Linked DNA regions of Bombyx mori. The protein of the gene in region 1 binds, or shares a complex with, the protein of each later gene. Links are inferred from orthologs where the notes say so. Each region holds a gene or a part of one and is shown in the gene's direction. Other genes may lie near its edges.

Evidence for each region.
Region 2: small nuclear ribonucleoprotein sm d2 (region 1) and small nuclear ribonucleoprotein Sm D3 share a complex: the UniProt entries of both Homo sapiens proteins name them as parts of the SMN-Sm complex. The link is inferred for Bombyx mori from reciprocal best matches to the Homo sapiens genes SNRPD2 and SNRPD3.
Region 3: small nuclear ribonucleoprotein sm d2 (region 1) and small nuclear ribonucleoprotein protein F share a complex: the UniProt entries of both Homo sapiens proteins name them as parts of the SMN-Sm complex. The link is inferred for Bombyx mori from reciprocal best matches to the Homo sapiens genes SNRPD2 and SNRPF.
Region 4: small nuclear ribonucleoprotein sm d2 (region 1) and U4/U6 small nuclear ribonucleoprotein Prp31 share a complex: the UniProt entries of both Homo sapiens proteins name them as parts of the U4/U6-U5 tri-snRNP complex. The link is inferred for Bombyx mori from reciprocal best matches to the Homo sapiens genes SNRPD2 and PRPF31.
Region 5: small nuclear ribonucleoprotein sm d2 (region 1) and puff-specific protein Bx42 share a complex: the UniProt entries of both Homo sapiens proteins name them as parts of the minor spliceosome. The link is inferred for Bombyx mori from reciprocal best matches to the Homo sapiens genes SNRPD2 and SNW1.
Region 6: small nuclear ribonucleoprotein sm d2 (region 1) and splicing factor 3B subunit 5 share a complex: the UniProt entries of both Homo sapiens proteins name them as parts of the minor spliceosome. The link is inferred for Bombyx mori from reciprocal best matches to the Homo sapiens genes SNRPD2 and SF3B5.
Region 7: small nuclear ribonucleoprotein sm d2 (region 1) and splicing factor 3B subunit 2 share a complex: the UniProt entries of both Homo sapiens proteins name them as parts of the minor spliceosome. The link is inferred for Bombyx mori from reciprocal best matches to the Homo sapiens genes SNRPD2 and SF3B2.

The regions. Positions count from the first base shown.
Region 1 is NC_085132.1:3,762,098-3,764,884, reverse strand, and holds small nuclear ribonucleoprotein sm d2, read left to right. Parts: upstream 1-1,206; 5' UTR 1,207-1,282; coding exon 1,283-1,284; intron 1,285-1,386; coding exon 1,387-1,639; intron 1,640-1,931; coding exon 1,932-2,036; 3' UTR 2,037-2,287; downstream 2,288-2,787. UniProt on the Homo sapiens protein: Plays a role in pre-mRNA splicing as a core component of the spliceosomal U1, U2, U4 and U5 small nuclear ribonucleoproteins (snRNPs), the building blocks of the spliceosome.
Region 2 is NC_085122.1:328,611-332,620, reverse strand, and holds small nuclear ribonucleoprotein Sm D3, read left to right. Parts: upstream 1-1,210; 5' UTR 1,211-1,398; coding exon 1,399-1,708; intron 1,709-2,819; coding exon 2,820-2,902; 3' UTR 2,903-3,828; downstream 3,829-4,010. UniProt on the Homo sapiens protein: Plays a role in pre-mRNA splicing as a core component of the spliceosomal U1, U2, U4 and U5 small nuclear ribonucleoproteins (snRNPs), the building blocks of the spliceosome.
Region 3 is NC_085117.1:15,790,773-15,794,017, forward strand, and holds small nuclear ribonucleoprotein protein F, read left to right. Parts: upstream 1-1,352; 5' UTR 1,353-1,430; intron 1,431-1,512; 5' UTR 1,513-1,523; coding exon 1,524-1,698; intron 1,699-2,356; coding exon 2,357-2,448; 3' UTR 2,449-2,745; downstream 2,746-3,245. UniProt on the Homo sapiens protein: Plays a role in pre-mRNA splicing as a core component of the spliceosomal U1, U2, U4 and U5 small nuclear ribonucleoproteins (snRNPs), the building blocks of the spliceosome.
Region 4 is NC_085116.1:12,784,479-12,788,688, reverse strand, and holds the start of U4/U6 small nuclear ribonucleoprotein Prp31, read left to right. Parts: upstream 1-1,410; 5' UTR 1,411-1,533; exon of another isoform or gene 1,534-1,753; 5' UTR 1,754-1,765; coding exon 1,766-1,960; intron 1,961-2,033; coding exon 2,034-2,169; intron 2,170-2,344; coding exon 2,345-2,549; intron 2,550-2,883; coding exon 2,884-3,026; intron 3,027-3,852; coding exon 3,853-4,037; intron 4,038-4,210. UniProt on the Homo sapiens protein: Involved in pre-mRNA splicing as component of the spliceosome. Required for the assembly of the U4/U5/U6 tri-snRNP complex, one of the building blocks of the spliceosome.
Region 5 is NC_085130.1:3,027,660-3,031,800, forward strand, and holds the start of puff-specific protein Bx42, read left to right. Parts: upstream 1-1,341; 5' UTR 1,342-1,466; coding exon 1,467-1,483; intron 1,484-1,654; coding exon 1,655-1,806; intron 1,807-3,525; coding exon 3,526-3,683; intron 3,684-4,141. Other genes in the region: uncharacterized protein LOC101746654, read right to left, coding at 438-510, 616-657. UniProt on the Homo sapiens protein: Involved in pre-mRNA splicing as component of the spliceosome. As a component of the minor spliceosome, involved in the splicing of U12-type introns in pre-mRNAs.
Region 6 is NC_085126.1:5,965,730-5,968,162, reverse strand, and holds splicing factor 3B subunit 5, read left to right. Parts: upstream 1-1,325; 5' UTR 1,326-1,485; intron 1,486-1,590; 5' UTR 1,591-1,596; coding exon 1,597-1,854; 3' UTR 1,855-1,933; downstream 1,934-2,433. UniProt on the Homo sapiens protein: Component of the 17S U2 SnRNP complex of the spliceosome, a large ribonucleoprotein complex that removes introns from transcribed pre-mRNAs.
Region 7 is NC_085131.1:3,909,943-3,913,442, forward strand, and holds part of splicing factor 3B subunit 2, read left to right. Parts: intron 1-1,306; coding exon 1,307-1,510; intron 1,511-2,058; coding exon 2,059-2,134; intron 2,135-3,346; coding exon 3,347-3,500. UniProt on the Homo sapiens protein: Component of the 17S U2 SnRNP complex of the spliceosome, a large ribonucleoprotein complex that removes introns from transcribed pre-mRNAs.

The DNA.
Region 1 (2,787 bases):
CGGTAATGAAATAAAGAAATTTAATTGAATATGAAGTTCGTTAACATAAAATAAGCATGGCATATACAAAATTGCTGATTATATGATCATGACTTTGTATTTTAAAATTTCCTTAAGCGCCTTATTCACGATCCATCTTGCTGTACGTCCCGCCAAGGCCATGCACGATGCACGATGCATTTAGCGCTTTATTCACGATCCGTCACGGCTGTACGTCAGCTCAAGACCGCAGTGCTGGATGTATCAAGCGCGAACAGAATAAATCGAACGAATTAAATGAGGGTTTTAAGTTAAAATGCCAGCTGCTTTATCAAAACGCCAAAAATGGGAGTCCTTCTGATGTTGTCAGCAGCAGCAGAAGAGAGGCAAAAAATAGCAAGAGGTTTTGGATGATTTTTTTAAACGTGCAGAGTATACTCAAATAATTAATATCATTTTTTACGCACGCTATCAATCCTTGCAGCTTCCCCTAAAATGGGCCTAAAAATTGTAATACGTTTATTATTTTTGGTTTATTCATATAGTCTGCGCTTGAGACATTCCACAAAAATGTGGAACTTATAACTTTCAATAAATCTTGAAAGGGTTTCACGATCCATTTTGACGTGCAGTCTCCTTTCGAAACTCTTCGTTAACTTTAATTTCAGTATTACCACCGTCTTTTTACGATTTCATCAATGTCAGTGTCGAGTTAAAAACTGACATTTAGTGGCCATAATTGTTTGTTGAAATAATACTTTTTGGCGGGAACGCGAGGAGTGAAGTTGTGTGATTTGTTTTATTTTGTCTATTTATTTAGTGTTTCTTCAGGTTGAAATGTGTAATAACGGTGGTTTATTAACTGTGTATTATCTGTGAAAGTGTACAAATGTGGGAAAATGAAACAAAGCCGCTGGATGTAACTTCTCGGGATCCTCCAAAAAGTCCACTGAAAAGATCTCAGTAAATGACCACCATTTTACTGAGATTATATTATATTTCATCCCATATCATCTCATTTCATTTTATTTCATCCCAGTCGATTAATGTCCCAAATTAATCATTTTCATTTCACTCCATATTATCATTTTTCATAAAATTAAGAATATAAATTAAAATAAGACATGACTTACAAGTCTTAGTTACCAGGTCACAAAATTCCTTACAAAAAATTGTTGAATTAAAAAGCAGAGTCACCATAGACAAAATAAAGCGTCGACTTAGCGTGTGTACGATAGTTTTGCTGTAATTGTAATCTTTTTCACTCAATTTCTCAGTTCACAAGCCCATAAAATAATACAAAATGTAAGTATTAATATGATTTACGTAGTTTTAACAATATATTTAACATATTATCTGCTTAGCCGGTAATGGTCAACAATAACTCTAATGTTAACCTTATTATAGGACGTCAACAACTAAGCCACGCTCTGAAATGACCCTAGAAGAGCTATCTAAAATCGAAGAGGAAGAGTTTAGTACCGGACCTCTTTCCGTGCTCACGCAGTCAGTAAAGAACAACACACAAGTTCTGATAAATTGCCGTAACAATAAGAAACTCCTGGGTAGAGTGAAGGCTTTCGACCGGCATTGTAACATGGTATTGGAGAATGTTAAGGAAATGTGGACTGAGGTACCGAGAACTGGCAAAGGAAAGAAGGTAAACAGATGTTACTGTATTTCAGTTCAATTGATTCAGAAATTTGAGGTTATGTATTGGAAATAGGAACCACTCCCAAGCGCTCATGTATAAAAGTGCTACAGCTCCAACTTGAAAAGTACACAATAAGACATGATGTCGCGTATTTTAGGCCAATATTAGCGGAGATAAAATACAAACCACTGGAAATTCCCAAGATGACAATTATGTGGATATGAAACATTCTGTGTTAGCTCATTTCATTAAAACTCTTCAAATTCAAAATACGTATAACTTCTGGTTTTATTTTCAGGGCAAAGCTGTAAACAAGGACAAATTCATCTCCAAAATGTTCCTCCGCGGTGATTCTGTGATCTTAGTACTAAGGAATCCTCTTGCTACAGCTGCAGGGAAGTAATGCAGTAATTAGTTTAAGTATTAATGAATAAAATATTCAGGAAATGAATAGCTTTACTGGTTCATTCCTTAAACTGTAATAATACTTTTACAAAATTGGAAACTGTGTTAGTTCTATGATTCTGCAACTATATGTAATAAATAAACAAACTCGATATTTTAATATATTGAAATTGTATCAAGTTCACATATTGTAAGATAAAGCTAAAAACGATCAGTTATTATAATGATGCATTAAAAGAGTCTCACCAGTATTGTTGTTAATATTAGCATAAAATAACTTCATATTAGTGGCTGAACATACCAAAATTGAAAAAAAGATACTTACTTTTGGTGCAAGTAGTAACTAACAATTTTGTAAAATATAGATGCTTTAACATTTTTAAAGAAACATGGCAAAATTACAATGGTCAAGAAGTCCACAAACCTGTCAATAAGTTTATAATTTCTATAATAAACCAAAGTGTAAAAGTGTGTTTTTAATATGATTTTTTTCATAGCCCCTTATTAATTTGTGCAAATTAGATCTGATGTACATCATGGGATTAAGCTGTGCAGTCCAGTCCAATATTTTGTTAACATGTTGGTTTCATGACAGACACTATGAGTCCACAGCATACTTTCCCCTAGGGTAAAAAAATGTAGTGTTTTTTCAAAAATATTCTCAAGAAATTACTCAAAAGTAATGAGTGAGGTATGGAAACAGTGACTAAGTATTGTTTTCTGAGATATTTCAAATGGCAGACAGTGTC
Region 2 (4,010 bases), on another chromosome or scaffold:
CATCAAGATGACATTCCACCGCTCCGCTGGCCACTTGGAGTTATACAAGAGGTGTATCCAGGTGCCGATAACATTATACGCGTTGCTTTGGTAAAAACGAAATCTGGATTTCTTAAACGTCCAGTTGTAAAATTATATCCGCTACCGCTAGAATAAATTAGAGTACCGCATGTCATCAACCGCTTCAACTCTACTCGTAAACATTCATGATGGCTTATTATTAATTAAAATTTGTTTCTTTTCAAATAACTTCCCGCTATTTAAGCTTTATGCTTCCTATCTTAGTATCTTTATATATTTGTTGAAAGTCCTGCGAACTTTCAAGGCGGGCAGGATGGTCACGCGGATTTAGTAATGGGATGCTAATGAATTATTGGGATGGCGCCACCTTTGGAGTTTGTCAGTAACTAATTACCGCGACTACCCAAAGCGTGGTTCTACCCGATCGATCACGCTTTACCGCTAGCTGCCTAGATGGCGGCACTTGTATATTGTGTGGTGCTTGAGCTTACGAAAAGCTACGTGAGCTTCGTCACCCCCTCCCGCCGCCCGCGTGCTTCCATCGCCGACGCCCGCACGACAGTCACTGGCAAGATCTACAGGTGAGTGCAAGTTCTTTTAATTTATTGCCATTTTATTGCTGCTTCGTGTAATCATTCGCCCGCCCGCTCGCTTATGTGTATTTAATTTATATCTTTAGTTTGATTACTAGCTTTTGTTTACCGCTATATAGTTTTACCGCTCCGCTAATTATAAGTGACAAACATTTGTCACATACCGCTTAGGACGGCTATTTACACGCCTTTCTACAACCCCGCTTTATATGCTCCCGCCGCAGGAGGGCTATTTACACGCCCCCTTGCTACCCCAAGCATAAAGCCTAAGCACCTAGCTTTTTTTACAAATGAAACTAGGTCTATTAGGCTATGTACAGTGAAATGTAATTTATTTAGAAAAATGGTTGGAATTAACTAAGATTACATTTAACTTTTTGCAAAATCTCAATAGTTATACCCTGCGATGCTCTTGCATTTTCAAACCGAAAGGTAGTACTACTTTACGGCAGGAATAGGTAGGGTAGTGTTGTCTGCCTCTGTGGACTCGCAGACATCCTACCATTCCTACCACCAGTAAAGTTGATTTTCACAATGCTAAGGGAATTAAAAATCATAATGGATTTTTGGTAATATGGGTTATGTTGTCTTTGTCTGTCAATGAATGAATAAAAATGTCTATTGTCTATGCACGGAACTCGCCGCCATATTACATTAGATGTCTATGGATTTGAAGCGTCTAATTTTTTTGAAATATTCTTTCCCATTTTTATCGTAAATAATCTAAGAAATAATACTGAATTATTGTCCTTTATCGTACGTTTTTCTTAACTAAAACGTAAACATGTCTATCGGTGTGCCTATTAAAGTACTTCACGAGGCGGAAGGTCATGTAGTGACTTGTGAAACAAATACCGGTGAAGTTTATAGAGGGAAATTAATTGAAGCTGAGGATAATATGAATTGCCAAATGACTCTCGTAACAGTCACATACAGAGATGGCCGAGTTGCACAGCTCGAGAATGTGTACATCCGTGGTTCCAAGATCAGATTTTTAATATTACCGGACATGTTGAAGAACGCGCCAATGTTCAAAAGACAAGGGAATAAACCTACTGCAGGACGAGGGAAGAGTGCGATACTGCGAGCCCAAGGTATTGAACAATATAAAAATAGTGTGTATGTGATTTGTTTATCGAGCTAGGTATCCTAAATGTTCTCTCGCATCACATACGTAGTGATTGTGTTCATTATCAACAAGACAACATACGAGTGTTAATATATGAATGAGTGCTGTCTGACTTGCAGTCTAATTACATCTAGCACTGAAATTGTGAATATGCATTGTTCTTAATTTCGTTTAATTCAAAGACTTAAAAAAGAATAAACATCTTTAGCTTAGAACAACCCATTTCTTTAGGCTTGTTATAAATTAGACTTGAGTGAAGTCTATTTAACAATTACTGCACTATATAACCAAATTATTAAACGAAAATTTCTAAGTAGAAAACGTATGCAAGTATGAAAGATAAGCACATTTAATTACAATCAATAAATAGCCTTCATTAAAATTAGTACAAATGCATTGAATACATAGTGATCAATTGGGTCAAATGAGCAAAAAATAGGTAGTTTGAAGCTTTGATTTTTTAAATGTCTTGTTTGTTTATATCCTGTATAGATATTTTTTGTCACAGTTTTTTAATAGTAATTGAGAATATTTTACAATTTTTCATTCTTGAGTGCTTATATAGACATACAATGTCAAATTTGCAATTTTAAGTTTTGTAATATCAAATCAGTATTTTGTTCCAATGTTAATTGTTTCTAATCATTCAACTATATGTTATTGACAATTTTACTTTGGGTGGTTAAAGAAAATATGTGAATGATGAGACCATGTCAAGTACCTAATGCACACAATCTCACACATCTAAAGTAAAACCTATTTTACATAATGTTATGCAAACTAATAACTGTATCTATTACATTTGTGAAAACCCATTCTTGTGTATTTAAATAATTACGGCAAATTTCTGTTGCTAAACAGGAATGTGAATTGATTTGACGGGCTGGACAGTAACTACAATACATTTGAGCGATCAAATATATGTATCTCTTCATACTCATCTCAAGTATCATGCCAACCAGCATCCTTATTTTGATGTTTGTGGGCCACAGTAAATCATTAATCAAGTGGGTTGTAAGCTTACTCACACATCTAGAGGAATCAAGAAGTAAAATACAAATCTTTGAAATTTTCAGCTGCTGGTCGAGGACGAGCAGGTGGAAGAGGTGGGGGCCACCGTGGAGGCTGGCAAGGTGGGTCAGGACCATCTCGACGCTAGCGTTAAGATATTTTTTAGATAGCTTAAGTTGTACTTGTCTTATATTTCAATTGTCAAGGAATTATTTCATTATCATTCTTATATATTGATATATCTAAGTGAGAAAAATACAAATTTTGGAAATAGAACAACTGTTTGTTCAAAGATTATTATTATGTTCTCAAATGTAACAATAAGGTCCTGTTCCAGATTTTCTGTTTTTTTATTTTGGTCACCCTTCAATCTGCTTTACACATCTTAGGTCTCATGGACCATTTGATCAAATAGACACTACACACTGATGCTACCCTATGGTGACTTATTGTGACTCCCAATCAATACAATGTTTAATCTCTATGTTCTATCCTTATATCAGTCCCAATAATCTAGAAATCTTGTCCATATGATGGGTAATAGTTCAATCTTGTTTTGGCTTGAGGAAATATCTATGTGTGGTTTATGCGGGGGTGACTATTGTAATTAAATATAAAAAGTTATTATAAACTGCCTTGTACAAACCAAACTTAACCAATGGCCGAGTTTTGACAATGTTTTATCCATATAATTTTGAATTTTTTTGCACTGTAACTGGAGCCTATAGACTTTATGAAGGCCTGCACCTACCATGAGGTTTGAGATCAAAGTCCCAGTTGTACTGTTTGGGATAAATGCTGTCTTAATGGGCAAATTGGAATGCTTCGCAGCATAAAACCTGCAACAATCATGCATGTTTGTTAAATGTGTGTAACTCGGCATCTTATCCTTTAGGACACGACAACCTCTTATGCAAAATATTTTTAATTTGAATGTTTTATGTTCGAATTTAGATTAGTTACAAACAGTGTAACAAGTTTACTGAGACTGTCAGCAGATATGTGATAGGATGTGTCGTTGTGGGTGTGAATATCAAAAGATTGAAAACAAATAAAAAACAATTTGGATAATAACTAGTGTTTTTATTTATGAGACACGCAGTGTCAACTAACTATAATTATTATTAGTCAAATTCCACTGGCCACTACTGCTTCTGAGATAGTATAATAATAGAAGTCATGACGGCTTCACTGTACAGACGCACAGGACAGTGGTGTCTAACCATACAAGCTCACACTGCACATCAGCACCTCAG
Region 3 (3,245 bases), on another chromosome or scaffold:
TATGTTTTTCATATAAGGTGCATTAATGTAAAAAATTGCAAAACTCATAGATAGATCGTAAACGTAAAAATCTATATTTTCATTGATTCAACACTGATTCACATCAAATTTTTACTATTCTGCAACACTACTTTGACATTGACTATTTGACGTTATTGGAACTTTTTTAATCACGTTAGATTGAATTCTGGTCTTTTAAGCCAAAAACCCATTGAAATAGTGTTTCGCCCATTTAATTATTCGAATCCATTTAACATTTATTTTAACAATATGTACATTTTGTCTTTAAAATGGTTTGGTGTTATAGCTCTACTCTCAGCATAAGCACTTCAACACACAATGTTGAAGTTCTCGTTTTCTATTCCCAAAATAGTTTTATAAAAAAACCGACTCTACTTTCAATTATTTGATGGTTTTTAGTTAGGCCAAAGATCGTTCATACCATCTTTAATTAAACAAACTTATCTAAATGTTTTTATTGCTAATATATAGTTTTATGGAAGCTTTTCACATATTTTTTCTTCTCTTCACATTTTATCAATAGCGAATTCCTCCAAATACGTTGAGAACTTTCAGCTTAGGTGTGTCGTTTTAGTCGCTACAAGCCCTTCTCTATTAGTTAAACATATTTGAAAGTGTAAAAGATTGTGGAAATATAACAAAATCACTGGACCTGACTTCTCAGGACTTTATGTTTATATAAATTAAAGAAAATAATTACCATTTTCTGTAGTTTTTTTTTCAACTGGGCTTCAATAATAATAAGATGAAATACATACTATTATTAATTTTTTACTACATTTTTTTAAAGGGATTTTATGACCTGGACTAACTAAAACTTTTAGGTCAAGTCTTATTTTAATTTTATGTTACGTAACTTTTTTATATGAAAATTATAGAAATGAAATGAAGTTGAATAATATGAAACATGGCATGAAGTGAAATGAAAACGAAATGAAATGAAATGAGATGAGATGATATGGGATGAAGTATAATCTCAGTAAAATGGTGATCATTTACTGAGACTTTTTCAGTGGACTTTTTGGAAGATCTCGAGAACTTACGTTCAGTGGCTTTGTTTCGTTTTCCCACATTTGTGCACTTTCACAGTTACAGTTAAGCAGTTAATAAGCCACCGTTATTACACATTTAAACCTGAAGAAAGACTAATTAGACAAAATAAAACAAACCACTCCTCGCGTTCCCGCCGAAAAGTCCTAGAAAGAACTAATTATAATAAATTTTAAACTACCTGTGTTTTATCTATGGTGGTGTATTATCTATGAGTAGCTGATGGCCGTGTTGCAAATTCAATGCTTTCATAAATAAAAAATAAAAAAATATCTATGAGTAGAAATTAGCGTCGAACTCGAAGCGAAGCCGATACATTTTGAGGTTATATTTTGTATTTCTTGTTAGCCGATATTAAAGTAAGTACTGATGTTTCTTAAATAAGCAATGAAAACAATAAAGGTGGTTTGAAAATGAATTAACATCCAATTTACTTTTTAGAACCTGCAAAAATGGCGGCTGCTATGCCAATAAATCCCAAACCATTTCTTAATAGTCTAACGGGTAAATCCGTGCTAGTTAAATTAAAATGGGGTCATGAATACAAAGGTTTGTTAGTATCAACAGATGGCTACATGAATTTGCAACTTGCTAATACTGAAGAACTTGTCGATGGAACTTGTACAGGTTAGTATTTAAGTGAACAACTTTAAGTAATCACGAAAACATATTAAAGCAAGAGATTAAGATCTACTGGTAGTGGACCTGGACCAAAATTGAATTAAAAATGAGACGTTCATTGTTTGTTTGGTCTATTATGAGTACACTATTCTGCACCCATTTCGACTTCAAAGCTTTCAAGCATTCTGCTTTGAAGAGTAGATTTAATATTCATATTGTAATAAACTTATAAATTCTAGAAGCCACTTAACACTAAATGTCATGGGGTTCATTTGCCCTTTTAAAGAAAAAAAAAGTACTTGCTACAAAGAATGCACAAAATCAATAAATTTCATAACAAGAGACAACTTGACACTTACAAGATTCCAAACCAAACTTTTTGGTTGTGAATAGTTTTGTGAATTTAATTAATTTAAATTAGTAAATAAAATTTAGAAATCAAATCTTAACATTTAAATATTTTTTTTTATATTTTTTTTTAAGAATCTTTTTTATTGTAATTCAGTCCATGCTACATCAAACTTAATGAAGTCATATCAGCAGAGTTCTGTAAAGCTTTAACGGCGTTTGTTTTGAATACTAGTTCAGTTAGTTCTGTTAGTCCATACATACAAAACACTAAATTAAGAACCCTATTAATTTAAGTATTGGGTTTTATTTCCAGGTAATTTAGGTGAAGTTTTAATAAGATGCAATAATGTCTTGTATGTAAGAGGAGCTGATGAAGAAGATGAAGAAGGAGAAATGAAAGAATAATTAGTAATTATTACATAAGTTAGAATAAGGAATTATCTTAAGAATAACAGGCAAAAGGGAAATTTTAAGCAAAAAAATAGAAATTTCATATTACTCTGTTAGCAGTAAAATTACCTTAGGTATATATCCCGAAATACTAATGATTGAGGAGAAAAATGTTAATTGGAACTATTGTTGTATACAATGTTTAAATGAAACAACTTTAATACTTTTTTTTTTTTAATAACTATGTCTGAAACAACCTCTTCAGCATGAATTCCATAACTTGTATAATTAATTATAAGTAAATTTTCACCATAACCTTGTTTTATTTTCTCAACACTAACTTTACAAGAAAAGGTTTGCGATTTATATTGTCCTTGCAAAAAATGAGCATGTGAAAACAGGGAAATATATTGAAATCTAATGATCTTCAATGTATTTTACCCCATTCCTTCTTGCTCTTTTTTGGCCTTTGGGTATTAGATTCCAAATTCGTTTAAAAACACAACCTCATTCGCAAAAACAATTTTCATTTAAAAAAACTTTGGTTCTCATTCTGGTTATGATTTGAAACTAAAAAGTAAATAATACAACCTTATTTTAATATAGTTAAAGCTCTAGAAGTGACTAAAAAGAGATGCATATTATTTTATAGTATCTAGTCTGTGAGAGAACGAGATAGAAAACTCCTACAGGTTACACTTCTACATTTTGCGAATTGCTGCACACTTTGTATTGCTCTGGATGAAGAAAAAAGCTGACTGCCTACTTGGTATTAAGTAGTTGCCATAGCCCACTACATAAATCATCACTCA
Region 4 (4,210 bases), on another chromosome or scaffold:
CTAAAAAATTGAATAGGAAGGTGTTCACTTAACTTTATTTAAATATTAGGCGTCTACACACCACCAACAAAAAGCCCAATTCCAGCCGAAAAATTCAAGATGTGACGAACTGACGAAAAGGGGCTTGAAAATTTATTCTGCTTGTTGACAGTTATGACATATTTTTTTTTAATGATTCTGAATGTAGTGTCTAAGAGGTATAAGATCATACAACACTACTATTTTCTACTAAAGCTGAGCTGTTTCCACTATTATGGATTAAAAGTATTAAAATCTAATGCTCTGACGTACTTTTTAGGAAAATCCTGTAATATATTTTTCAATTGTTATTAGAAAATAAGTCAAACTTGATCCACGTAATTCTTCAGATTAAAAGTACATTTCTTCTTCTTCGTCGCTTCCTCATTACTGTGGATCATGAGTCGTGACCACCTTGGTCTAATTGCACTAGTTTCCTACAATGCTGCCTGCATTTGGCCTGCTGAATGGCACCCGGAACGCTGGTGTTTGTGGCTTCCTTGGCAATGTCCGTCCATCTGGTTGGCAATCTTCCTCGAGCTCTCTTTCCTTCCACGTGACCTACAATTATTATTTTTTCCAATTTGTCAAGATTTCGTCAGGTCACGTGTCCGAAGTACTTGAGGAGATGCTGCATACAGATCGTAGATAGACAGGTCTTGACGTTTAGCTCCGAGAGAATTGATACATTTGTTCGGCGCTCCGTCCATGATACGACCAACATTTTGCGCCAACATCACATTTCAAATGCGTCAATTTTCAATCGGATACGGGCCTTGAGGGTCCACGTCTCAGAAGCGTACGAGAGTATGGAGAAGATAAGGGTTCTCATGAGCTTTATCTTAGTTTTTTGTTTATGTTGCGATTTCTCCAAATCTTCATAAATTTGATTCAATTCTTAAAAAAAAAACCAAGACTATTTCATTACAGCTTTCAGTATTTTTTAAATTGTAAAAAACAATCAAAAGTCACCGTCCTGTGAGACCTTTTGGCGGGAACGCGAAGAGCGAAGTTGTGTGAATTGTTTTAATTTGTCTATTTAGTATTTCTTTAGGTTTAAATGTGTAATAACGGTGGTTAATTATGAACTATTTAGTATTTATGAATATGCACAAATGTGGGAAAATGAAATAAAACTGCTGGGCGCAGCTTCTCGGGATCTACTGAAAAGTTCACTGAAAAGTCTTAATAAATATCTAACCACTATTTTACTGAGATTATATTTTATCCCATATCATCTCATCTTATTTCATTTAATTTCATCTCTATTAATGAATATCTCCAGTTAATCAACTTAAATTCATTTAGCTTCATATCATTTCCATGAAAGAGAATCTATAATTTATGAATAAACATATCGTATGATACCTTCGTCTTTATACTTGGAAAAATGGAATTACTACATACTAGGTAGGTACGGTACTACTTACTACTGTCAAGTACCGTACTGTCACTGTCATTTCTGTTTACTTTTCAAATTAACTATTGCAAATATTAGTCGCCGTAGGTACATAGGTAGGTAAATCATTTAGTTTTGGGTACAAACTATTGAAGTTTAATGACATCGCTGACTAAAAAATCAAATTAATATCTATAATGTATACTAAATGAAATATACTGTATAGCTGTGAAAGTCGATTTGAGTAAAAAACTGTAATAATTGTAGAATATTACAGAATACAATAGAAACAGAACAAGCTCACACATAAACTTAACACTCAGAAAATCAATTTAGTTCTACAGAAGCATGTCTCTAGCTGACGAATTACTTGCTGATTTAGAAGAAAATGACGATGGTGAACTCGAAGCTGCTATCGAGAGCAAAACCAAAGAAGAATACGACTTTGCAGTTCCATATCCCGTCTTACCTAAAGAAGAAGAAATCAAGAATGTCTCGATAAGAGAACTCGCGAAACTAAGATATTCTGATCGTCTGAAACGTGTATGTATTTAATAAAGTTTCTTGAAGAACAGTTTAAATATAAATTACAATTTTTCATGTAAACAACTTTTAGGTTATGAGTGAAATAGAATGTAATGCTGGAAATAACAGAAATAAGGTTGAAGTTGCTGGCTTAATGGAGTCTGACCCTGAGTATCAACTGATTGTGGAAGCAAATAATGTTGCTGTTGAAATTGATGGTGAAATAGGTATGCATTCCAATCTCCATTTTTCATGTGTTGATTTGTTTATTAAAACAGTTTCAGAGAATTGAACTTTTATGATTGAACGTAGTGTTAATAGTTCTCTTTTCATGAAATTATTATCTTGGTTGTCTAATTATTACTGCTTACAATATTAAAGTCAAGAAATGCAAATTTTCAGCTATTATTCACAGATTTGTCCGTGACAAATATCAGAAACGGTTTCCTGAATTGGAATCTCTAATCATCACTCCATTGGAATACATAAGGACAGTGAAAGAACTTGGCAATGATTTGGACAGGGCTAAGAATAATGAAATATTACAGAGTTTTCTTACTCAGGCCACTATTATGATTGTTTCTGTTACTGCATCTACAACTCAAGGGTTAGCTTCTTATTTGTTTTCTATTTGTGGTCTATTTTGTTTGCTAATATAAATCAATGCACTCACTCTGAGAAACATCGTGCCACATGTCATTGCAACGCGAGAGCATTGGTATCGCAGAATTCGACTGATACATGACCACAACCACTCTGTTAAGACTGTACGACTAGGAAGAAGAAAGAATAAATGTAAATAAAAATGTAGAAATGCAACATTTCAAATTCATTTAAATTATTATAGTGGACTAGAGTACAAAACAGGGACTTTGAAGATTTATTTTGATGAACATTTTGTGTAAAATAGTTACTTATTAAACAACTCAATCATTTGACAGGAAATTACTAAGCCAAATTGAACTAGAAGAAATCAATGAGGCCTGTGATATGGCAAGTGAGCTGAACAATTTCAAATCGCAAATATATGAGTATGTTGAAAGTAGAATGACTTTTATTGCACCAAACATAACTGCCATTGTTGGTAAGTGATACATTCTGTTGCCTATAATTACTAATATAAATTCTATTTAACACTCCCAAAACGATTAGTGGTAACAATTGTGCAATCACCCTTAGCCAACTGCAATTATTCCCCTCATCATATAATTTCCAAAATAGCAGAGTATTAGAAGGACCAAATGCCTCTTTCTGCATTTTTTGAGCCTGGCAGATTGTAAGTGCATCAGAACTCTAAATTGTAACCCTTTTAAAATAACATTTGCTTGGCAAAGTAGAGAAACGATCTGTTGTTAGAACGAGATGTTTTTTCTGTAGCAATTTATTCCCTTTTTACAATGCTCAGGAGGTCTGACCTGTCTGGTAGTTTGCACTCTGTTCTTGTCCATCATTGGATGGCCTTATTTATACTAAAACTATATCCAAAAATTTGTTGAGAGTGCTCGGGTTCTACGTTTAACAAGCCACCCTCCAATGGTCTAGACATTAAAATAATTTAACTAATCCCCCTCGCGACAAAATATTTAACCATATTGATATATTGGTAGTTGTTAATCAACTACAATAGAATATTTCTTAAATGAATGTGAGCATATTAAATGAATACTTTTTCTAATTGAAGGGTATGTGTGAATGAGTTCAGAATTATCCTGGTGATAAGTGGTTATCGAAGCCCATAGTAAGCACAATGGCACCACAAGCTCTTAGTTATATTTTATAACCCATCACACCATCCAAGCCAGAACTTAACTGCTTCATGGCACAAATATCCAAAGACAATGAAAACTACCCATGCGGGCTTACAATATGTTGTACCACCTGCGAATTTCTATCAAAACTATGTATTTCAGGAGCATCAACAGCAGCAAAAATCCTTGGTGTGGCCGGTGGATTGTCTAAATTATCAAAGATGCCAGCGTGTAATGTGTTACCTCTCGGGCAACAGAAGAAGACACTGTCAGGCTTCTCGCAAGCAACAGCTCTACCTCATACTGGGTTCATTTATTTTTCACAAATTGTACAAGATACAACACCTGTGAGTAATTTGAATATGATGATAATATAATATGAAAACATATTTTTTTAAGTATGACAATGGTATATTGAAGTTTTTGGTACCGAAATGTATTTTAGCCGTTTTACTCAGACTTAAACATTTTCTACTCCTGCAGTATTTCAGTTGAATTCTTAAAGATGTGATCACTATAA
Region 5 (4,141 bases), on another chromosome or scaffold:
CATAATAGAATAATTCAAGATGATTTATTAAGTAAATTTCACATCAAGCCCCTCAAAATCCAATGCAATTGCATTTAAGTGATTATCTTCCAACTGCAGGCTGCTTAATTTAAGCAGTAATACACACAATTTCCACATACATATACACAATAGTTATGTGTCATTAGAAAAAAAAAACTTTATCTTCCATGATATAATCTAAAGAGCACCCAGACTATAAAACATAATAAATAATCATTACATAAACATTTTCATGGCTTAGTCCCTATTTGTACTAATAGCACATTTGTTTGCTCATTAATTGGCCCAAAAGAATTGCATAGAACAAATACGTTTTGTTAAAATAGTAAAGAAAATGTTGTACAGTCTGTGTTGACTTAAAGACAGACTGCTATGAAATTATAGATATTTTATAAAATTATAATTGAAAAGGATATAAATTATGATGGGGACTGCCTGTGCTACTTTCCCCACCTCCTCATCCGTCTGCATTATCTTCTTGATACGTCCCTACAAACAAACAATGTCATGATTTCACTAATCTCAGACTTTTATACATGAAAACAACACATATTTTAAGGTTTTTGAACATTTTTTAAGAACTTTTGAACTTACTGGTGGAAATCTAGCATTGTATTTTCTCTTCTTCAACGGCATTTTGTATGTACGTTCACTATAACACCAATTAAACAGGAAAAATAGTTAAATTTGTCTATAGAACTATTACTTCTCGCGCATTTTTGAGGTTATAAAAGGGAGACGTTCGCAGCCTACTTCATTTATATACGAATTTGACAGTTCGTCTCCACCTCTTTTTGTGACCATTTTGAAACATTGAAATTTTGAACATTAAAATTCATTGCTATGGCGATAATGATAATATTTTTTTCATTTTAAACTCTAAAGACAGTCCGAAAACATATATTTCGAAAAGAATGATGACTTGTGATTGTGAATAATTTTGTTTCAGTCAAGTTAAAAAAATCGTTCAGAAATATCATTTTAAAAACAGCATCGAGAACTATGAATTTTTATTGCGAATTCCTTCAGGATTGATAACAAAAAAACCGTTCAATGATCAACAACAATGGTACTATTTAATGTATAGGCGAAATTAAATAACAAAAGTTGGTTCGGATGTCTACCTTGCTGACAGTGTACCTTGATTTACATAATACGTCTTGTGTTATTTGAAAAGACCCCCTCAGCATTAGTTTACAATCTCTGCGGAAGAAAAAATCAAACTCAAATTGTCTTTCATTCATTTTATCACAAAATTAGATTACATAAAAACAATTCCATTCCATTTTTCAGACATACGACTTTATAACAAAAGATCAGATTGAAGGATAGTTCTCTTTACTATCCATTGGACGAATCGTACAGAGAAATAAATCAAATGTCAAAATAAATGAACAATGTCAAATTAGTGAAATGTCTACGGTATTTCAGATTCAGACATAAAAATGGCGTCGTTGTCGAGGTGTGTTTTAAATGAAAACAATCAACTTAAATACTTGAAATTGAATATACAATAAACGCCGAAATTAAATAATAACTGATTAAAGCTACTAGTTAAATTAACTATTGTAAATAAATAATTTCATACGTTTACGTATTGACAAACTGACCGTGGTTCACGTTTCATTTTTAGCTTGTTGCCTGCCCCTAGTCAGCAAGTGTGGGATAGAGATGATGAGTTGAAGGCTAAACGTGTCGGGAGTGCTCTTGTAGTGTCCCAGACCAGTGTGCCACCTTACGGTGAGAGGAAAGGATGGGTACCTCGAAGAGACGAAGATTTTGCAGGTCTGTTAAATTTTGTAGATAAAAAAGTGAATAACCCCCGAAGTGAGAATCAAGTCAAAAAGTAGGTTTTTATTTGAAGTCGGAAAAAGAGTATCATCATCGATTCTATTCATACAATAGCATGTTTACTTCTGACGTGTGCTTATCCAGATATTAATCAGTAGTTGTGGCTTTCATATGAATTGAGAGACGGGAATAACCCCCGAAGTGAGAATCAAGTCAAAAACTAGGTTTTTTATTTGAAGTCAGAAAAAGAGTGTCATCATTGATTCTATGCATACAATAGCATGTTTACCTCTGACCTGTGCTTAACCAGATATTAATCAGTAGCTGTGGCTTTCATGTGAATTGAGAGACGGTATGCCGCAGGGTGTTGGAATCTGGATACCGAACTAGATCTTTCAGTAATTCTGAATGTCATTCTTACATAAAAAACCAGGTTATTATAATTAAAGTGGTTTTTGTGACATAAAACTACATAGCCTAATAATATAATCTTAATAATAAAATACATAGCTTAGTAACTATTGTGATGGCTTGGGATACAGGTGTATACAAGCTTGTGTAATGAAATAAATGTAAATTGTAATAATATATTTACAGTAAGAACTTGCTTAATGAGTGATAATATACATTCCATCAAAGTAGAGTTTAATATGAAACAGCATTAAACATAATCTCATAATGTAAATAATGGGGTTAGGTTAGATAGAAAATTGGTGAGGTATATAACATTAAATACCTCACCAATTTTCTGTCTATCTTTCTCCTATAAAACAATAATCTATTTCTTACAAATATAGAAACAATAAATGAATATAGTCTGTATGTTTATGTTGTATTTCAGTTCATACAGTTTCTTCTGTATTGCCAATTTTCTGCCTTTATTTTGCCAGGTGGTTGGATGTGCTAACAGCCCACGTGATGTTAAGTGGTTACTGGAGCCTATAGACATCTACATCGTAAATGCCACCACCCACCCTCAGATTTGTGTTCTAAGGTCTCATCTTTAACTACGGCTGCCCCACCTTTCAAACTGAAACTCATTAATGCTTTATAGTGTAAATAGGCAGGGTGGTGATACATCCCCGTGCAGACTCACAATACGTAATACCACCAGTAATTACGCATTATAATTTTGTGGATTTGATTATTATTATGTGATGTTATTCCTTCACAGTGGAAATCACTTGTGAACATTTGCTAAGTACGTTCATTGGAAAAATTGCCAGATTCCTTATTGTTGTCGTTGCCAAATTTAATGCAGCACCAATTTCAGATTGACATTCACCAGTATCTAATCTTCTATTAGCTTGCATCTAGTTTCTAGGGAAATAGTTTTTCTTGTTGCTTTATTTTTGTGTTTTTGTTAACACCCATGATAAAAACTTAAAATAAAAATATTTGTCACTTTATCAATCATTGTATCATATAAATTTGTACTTACAATAACACCAACAAATGTTTGAAATGATAAAAATATGTTGGATAACACTGCAGGATAGGAAAAACACAGAATAATTTATTCTGATATCGGGAAGCCTAGTGCCGTGTGCAATTTCAGGTCTTCTTCAGGCAAATCTTACAATTCAAATAAAAGAGAGTTAAACTGAAATCCCACTGAACGAGTCAGCATTATGTCAGGGTCTTACTGTACTTTCAAATTACACCTAAAATTAATTATATACGCAGTATTGCTTCAAAGCTTGTATGTTTTAGATGGCGGAGCATTCCCAGAGATCCATGTGGCACAGTACCCGCTTGGTATGGGAATGCGAGGCAAGGAGAGTACTTCAAACGCTCTTGCTGTCCAGCTGGATGAGTCTGGGAGAGTCAAATATTCTGCGATTGCCAGACAAGGACACAGCGCTGACAAGGTGATCAGTTAATTATTTGACATGGTGAATGAGAACACAATAGATATTATTGTTGAAGTCCTTGATTACTAAACACTTAGATATGTAAACACATAATAGGCTGATTAGAGAAATAATTTAAAACATCTAACAAGTTCTGTGAAGTCTGTTAAAAATCTCTGAATCTTTATTTATTTTAAAAGTTTTTGACTGTAAATAATATGTCTGTGTAGAATAATTTAAATGTGACCATTGATGTCATTGTTGGAAAAGGCGCCTGTTTAGTTGAATGAACAAATATTATGGTACCATAATTATTTCTGCACAGATTTCAATTTTGTATCATATAACCAGTCATCTAAATGGATCGATAACTTAACATTAAATAATATTAATTGAGAAATAAGCAGTAACATAGTTTGAGCATTTCCTGAAACCATCTCTAGGAAAGTATTATTGGAAATTTTTCCAACCAACAG
Region 6 (2,433 bases), on another chromosome or scaffold:
TAAGTTTATCAAAAATATTGAATAAACACGGTAGTGTATTTTCTATGGCAACTGGTTTTAAATTGATCAATTAATCAACATAACAACATACCAAAGAGTTTAGAAATACGACGATATCAACGTACCCTAGAGTGTACTTTGTAAGTACTCTAAGTTGATATGTAACTGTGAGCATAGAAAATACACTTAATTAAAATACCTGTGAGCTTAAGATAAGTGGATGAGGAGAACCGCAGACCGGGCTCAGTGGTGTGGATTGGGAGAGGCTTATGTCCAGCAGTGGACGACTGTGGGCTGTTGATGATGATGATGATGATGATGATGAGCTTAAGATTCCATGATAGATGCAGCTGATCTAGCGTGGTTGTAATTATGTATATCTCACGGGTTTTTTTTTATTGCTTTGGTGGGTGGACGAGCTCACAGCCCACCTGGTGTTAAGTGGTTACTGGAGCCCATAGACATCCACAACGTAAATGCGCCACCCACCTTGAGATATAGTAAGTTCTAAGGTCTCAAGTTTAGTTACAACGGCTGCCCCACCCTTCAAACCGAAACGCATTACTGCTTCACGGCAGAAATAGGCAGGGTGGTGGTCCCCACCCGCGCGGACTCACAAGAGGTCCTGCCACCAGTAATTACGCAAAATATAATTTTGCGGGGTTCATTTTTATTACACGATGTTATTCCTTCACCGTGGAAGTCAATCGTGAACATTTGTTTAGTATGTATTTCATTAGAAAAATTGGTACCCTCCTGAGATTCGAACACCGGTGCATCGCTCAACACGAATGCACTGGACGTCCTATCCGTTAGACCACGACGACTTCTATCCTTCCTTTACCTTTTTTTACTTTTTATTTTATCTTTTATTAACCTCTTTGCTTTAATAACTTTGTTGCGTGAGCTGTAGAAGTGTAGTTAATAGTTAATTTTGTTAACTTACTGTTTTTTTGTTTGTTGAAACGTGCTATTAATGAAAAATTGTAACCGTTTAGTATCTCTAAAAGTCCACAAGTATAGGAAAATGTGACAACACAGCTGTACTCAACTGTTTTGGTCAGCATTATCGGCAAACGAGTATCTGTCCCACTTAATAATAAGTGGCGATCGTCTCTGATGAACGTCAACGTCAGAAGCATAGACTAAGACTAATTCCACTGCCGGGGCTCTTCCCAAGCTTCGTTAAAAGATGAAAGCTTATTTCAAAACCAGATGATATGTAAACAGATCTAAGAACTTACTGTGAAAGATGCAGTGAAAGAAATAATAAAAAAAACTGTGCACAACCTTTGGTGTTTAGATTTCAACGTTAAGTATTGTATCTATGGTTTAGATACGCCGTGTCTGCAGTAATCTGCACTGCAATTTATGTATTGTCTATGAATACTCTTTGTTTTGGGCTGCTACGTGATATCAATATTAGCTGAATTAGAATATAAACTTTAGAGTCTATACGATTTCAACAAGCATCTTGCCTTTAAAGTAAGTGTGTATATTTTATTAGAAACGTTTTATTTATTTTATAACCATTTAATTTTACATTAATGACATTACTAACTCGAACTATAACCTTAAAATAATTTACAGAATAAAATGGGTGAAAGATACAACATTCACAGTCAACTTGAACATCTACAGAGCAAATATATAGGCACAGGCCACGCCGACACTACAAAATATGAATGGCTTATGAACCAACATCGCGACTCTTGCTGCAGTTACATGGGTCATCCGGATTTGTTGAGTTACTTTGCGATCGTAGAAAATGAATCTAAAGCGCGCGTAAAATTCAATTTGATGGAACGAATGCTTCAACCATGCGGCCCACCGCCAGAAAAGCCTGAAGATTAAACGCTTCGATTTTAAAAATAGAATTAAGCTAATTTACTTATTATTTGACTTTGAATCCCTTATCATGACATAAATTCGAGCAGTTTGTTTTCATTTCTATAACCTTTAACAAACACAATTAGTCTATTCAAATAGTACCACCAAAAACTCAACTATTATCAATAAAAACTACAAATTTTAATAACAGGTATAGTTTATAGTTTAGAATTGGTTCAATGGTCAAATGTTTGACAATCTTATTTTTATATACAAACTTGTTTCATATTGTTTTATCTCAAAGAAATCAGTTTTGATTTCCATTTAGCCTTATATATATACAGTCAAAATCTGTTATAACGACATCGAAGGGACTGCTCATATTCAGTCGTAAAAACCGATAGTCGTAACAACCGGTAATGTTTAATGTGTATCGTGCAAGTACAAACAAATCGATAGGGAATTATTGGAAAAATATATTTACAAAATACGTGATTTTTCTTCAATATTAATTTGTTTTCTTTTTCTTTGCGACATTTTCAAAGTTTCACGAATAACTCCACAAAGTTTTGGTGCGTTTTATGTATAGATAAGTAATAAACT
Region 7 (3,500 bases), on another chromosome or scaffold:
CTAAGACCTTTAGGTTATGTCTTATTTTAATTTATATTCTTATTTTTATGAAAAATGATAATATAGAGTGAAATGAAATAAAGATGATTGATTTGAGACGTAAAAAAAACTGGGATGAAATAAAATTAAATGAGGTGAAATATAATCTCTCTTTTGAAGTCGTCGTGGCCTAACGGATAAGACGTTCGGTGCATTCGTGTTGAGCGATGAACCGATGTTCGAATCTCAGGCGAGTACCAATTTTTCTAATGAAATACGTACTCAACAAATGTTCACGATTGACTTCCACGGTGAAGGAATAATATCGTGTAATAAAAATGAAACCCGCAACGGCTTTGTTTCATTTTCCTACATTTGTGCACTTTCACATATATTAAACAGTTAATAAACTACTGTTATTACACATTTAAACATGAAGAAACACTAAATAGACAAAATAAAACAAAACACACAACTTCACTCCTCGCGTTCCCGCCAAAAAGTCTCGATTGTTGTGGATAACATCTTATTTCATAATACGCGCGATTGTGGAGACCATTTCAACATATTAGCTGGCTGCAACGTCTAGGCAGTACCAATCGGAACCTATTATCGCTTCGTAGCAGAAATAGACAGGGTGATGGTACACGTCTGTGAAAGGTTAAAATTCTCGGAAAGTTGTTCTATGTTAATTGACACAGTTACTCGAAATATAGTATATAAAACAGATTTTTTTTCATCATCATCATCATCATCATCAACAGCCCACAGTCGTCCACTGCTGGACATAGGCCTCTCCCAATCTACACCACTGAGCCCGGTCGGCGGCTCTCCTCATCCACTTCTCAGATTTTTTTATTCAAATGTAATTAATAATTCCCCTGGTTGATTTATTCGAATCTAAATGGTACTAAGTTAATTGAAATAGTACAATAAATTTCCCAGTAACAAATTTAATATTTCTGAAGTGAAAACATTACATAGCTATGTAATAAATATTTTAATTTTAAAACATTTTTATATTTAACTAGGTGTACCCGTCCGCTACGCTGGGCATTTAAAATTAACATTACTATTTCTCACCCCCACAAAGATTCTCATCATTAACGCCCCCGCAACTGGTGTAGGGAGTCCAATACTCATATAAATATTAGCCTATCCATTAAGTACATGTATTGTCTACATGGATACCAAGTTTCATGTCGATCGGATGCATGGTTCAGTAGTTATAACGGAACATCCGTAAAAACCACTGTAGATTTATATATTAGTATAGATTATTAAATACAATATTTGCTAACGAAGGACATTAAATGTATTTTTATAGGTACCACCGCCGTGGTTGATCGCGCAGCAGCGGTACGGGCCGCCGCCCTCGTACCCGAACCTCAAGATCCCCGGCCTCAACGCGCCCATACCCGAGGGGTGCGCCTTCGGCTACCACGCCGGGGGGTGGGGCAAACCGCCCGTCGACGAAATGGGAAAACCGCTCTACGGAGATGTCTTCGGACATCAGACGAGTGGACAAGATGTGAGTTGGACTTTGTCATACTTTTTTTTTTAATCCTCCTTTGCTGATAGCCTTGAGAGGCTATATCAGCGTCGCCTTAACTAGTAGGTGAGCTCACGGGGCTCAAACCTGATGAATTTTGTTATACTACGTTGCGGATGAAATATTAATGTCGTGTGGCAATGATAATAAGGCTCAAACTCTTGCAACATATCCGTAGAAACTTTGACTTTTTCAAAGATGATTCCTTTTTTTTTCATTTCTTTCCCCTATTAAATATTACAATAAACTCATATTAAATGTTCTGTGCAAATCTCTGAATAATTTTCTGAATTAATCTCATAATTGTCAACATCACATAATAATTAATTGACCGTCTATCTCATATTAAATGGTTACCAGAACCTGTAGATATCATAACGAGAATTCTCCTACCCCCTTTGCGTACATACAAGACTAAAGTCTCAATCATGTGATACCTCATATTGCAAATTGAAATGCACAAATGAATTATCTCATAATAAGTACATAATGTTAATGTAATTTATTGTTTAATCTTAATTCTCTAGGACGGCGAAGACGTGGACATCGACAGGACAATGTGGGGCGAACTGGAGTCTGAATCAGAAGAAGAGTCGGAGGAGGGTCAGTATTTGGGTGCTCTTTTTTTCTTTGATTGCACGTATGCGGATCCCTCGGAATGATTTGCAAATATTGCACTAATAATAAATTAATATTCAACCCTTACAACCCTTATCGAGGGGCGAAAGGTTATTTGCTTCAAGCGACATTTCGCAAATTTACAGGAGAGCCATTTAAAGTTTTAAACTGGGAAAAGATATCATAAAAAATCAAGCTTTTTCAGCTATTTGAATGGAGTAAACTTAATTGAAGTCCAAAACATCGAACTGTTGATGCTAATATCAAATAAAACGCATCTTTAATTGCAAAGATAAATGAGTCGACTATTATCAAAGCCGGCAATCTGACTTTTGGATAATTATTGGTAAATCAGAAAAACGAATTATTGACTTTGTATTCCATTGGCAGTCACAAAACTCTTCAGAAAGACATCTTAGATAAATAACAGGTTAACTATTAACCTTTATTTAATGCAGGTTTTGAACCGTATTCTTTGAAGGAGACGATTATATTCAAATCAATCTGTATTGACATATCAATAATTTTTTTTTGTCCAAATGCACAGATTGCCACCTTTGATAATAGACGACTCAAATGTCGCTTACACCAAATAGCCTTTTACCCTTCAAGGTGGGCTCCCGGCCCGTCGAACGTGGCAATCCATAGCATATCACATAGATCCCGCCGGCGACACGACCGCCGGTCCGGCGTCTGGGGTACGGCGGGATGGATGTAATCTGTTATGCGTAAACCCTGTCCCGCCGTCTCAATAACTCCAACTGGGCTCCGGCCTGGTCCGAGGTAGGGCGCCGGCTGTGAGCGGCAGGAGTTTTTAGTGAGGTTCAACTCCCACATAACCCACCCGCTGCGCGGATGGGGATCCGGCGATTTTCTCCTGTGGAAAAAAGCCTTTGATATGTAAATAATAAGAAAATACGTTTTAAAATTTCGTTAATTTTTCACGAATTCATACAATTAATGTAAATCTATTTCTTTCTTCCCGATCCGGAGTACTACGACTTTGAACCGAAATCATTAATATTTTTTTTAAGTGATTTTATGACCTGGTAACTAAGACCTTTAAGTCATAAAGTTATTAATTCATTGTTAGTGCGATATTTGAAAATAATTCCGCATGGCGATTAATCTGTCAAAGTCGAATAACATTGCAATGAAAATGGTGAAAATTTCGTCTTGAATGTATGCTGTATACAGAGGAATCGGGCGAGGAGGGCGAGGCAGAGATGGGCGGGGTCGGCACTCCCGCGGAGGGACTCGCCACGCCGCTCGGACTCAGCTCCGTGCCGCCCGGACTCGAGACTCCCGACAGCATTGAACTCAGGAAAAAGAAATTGGACTCCGATCTTGA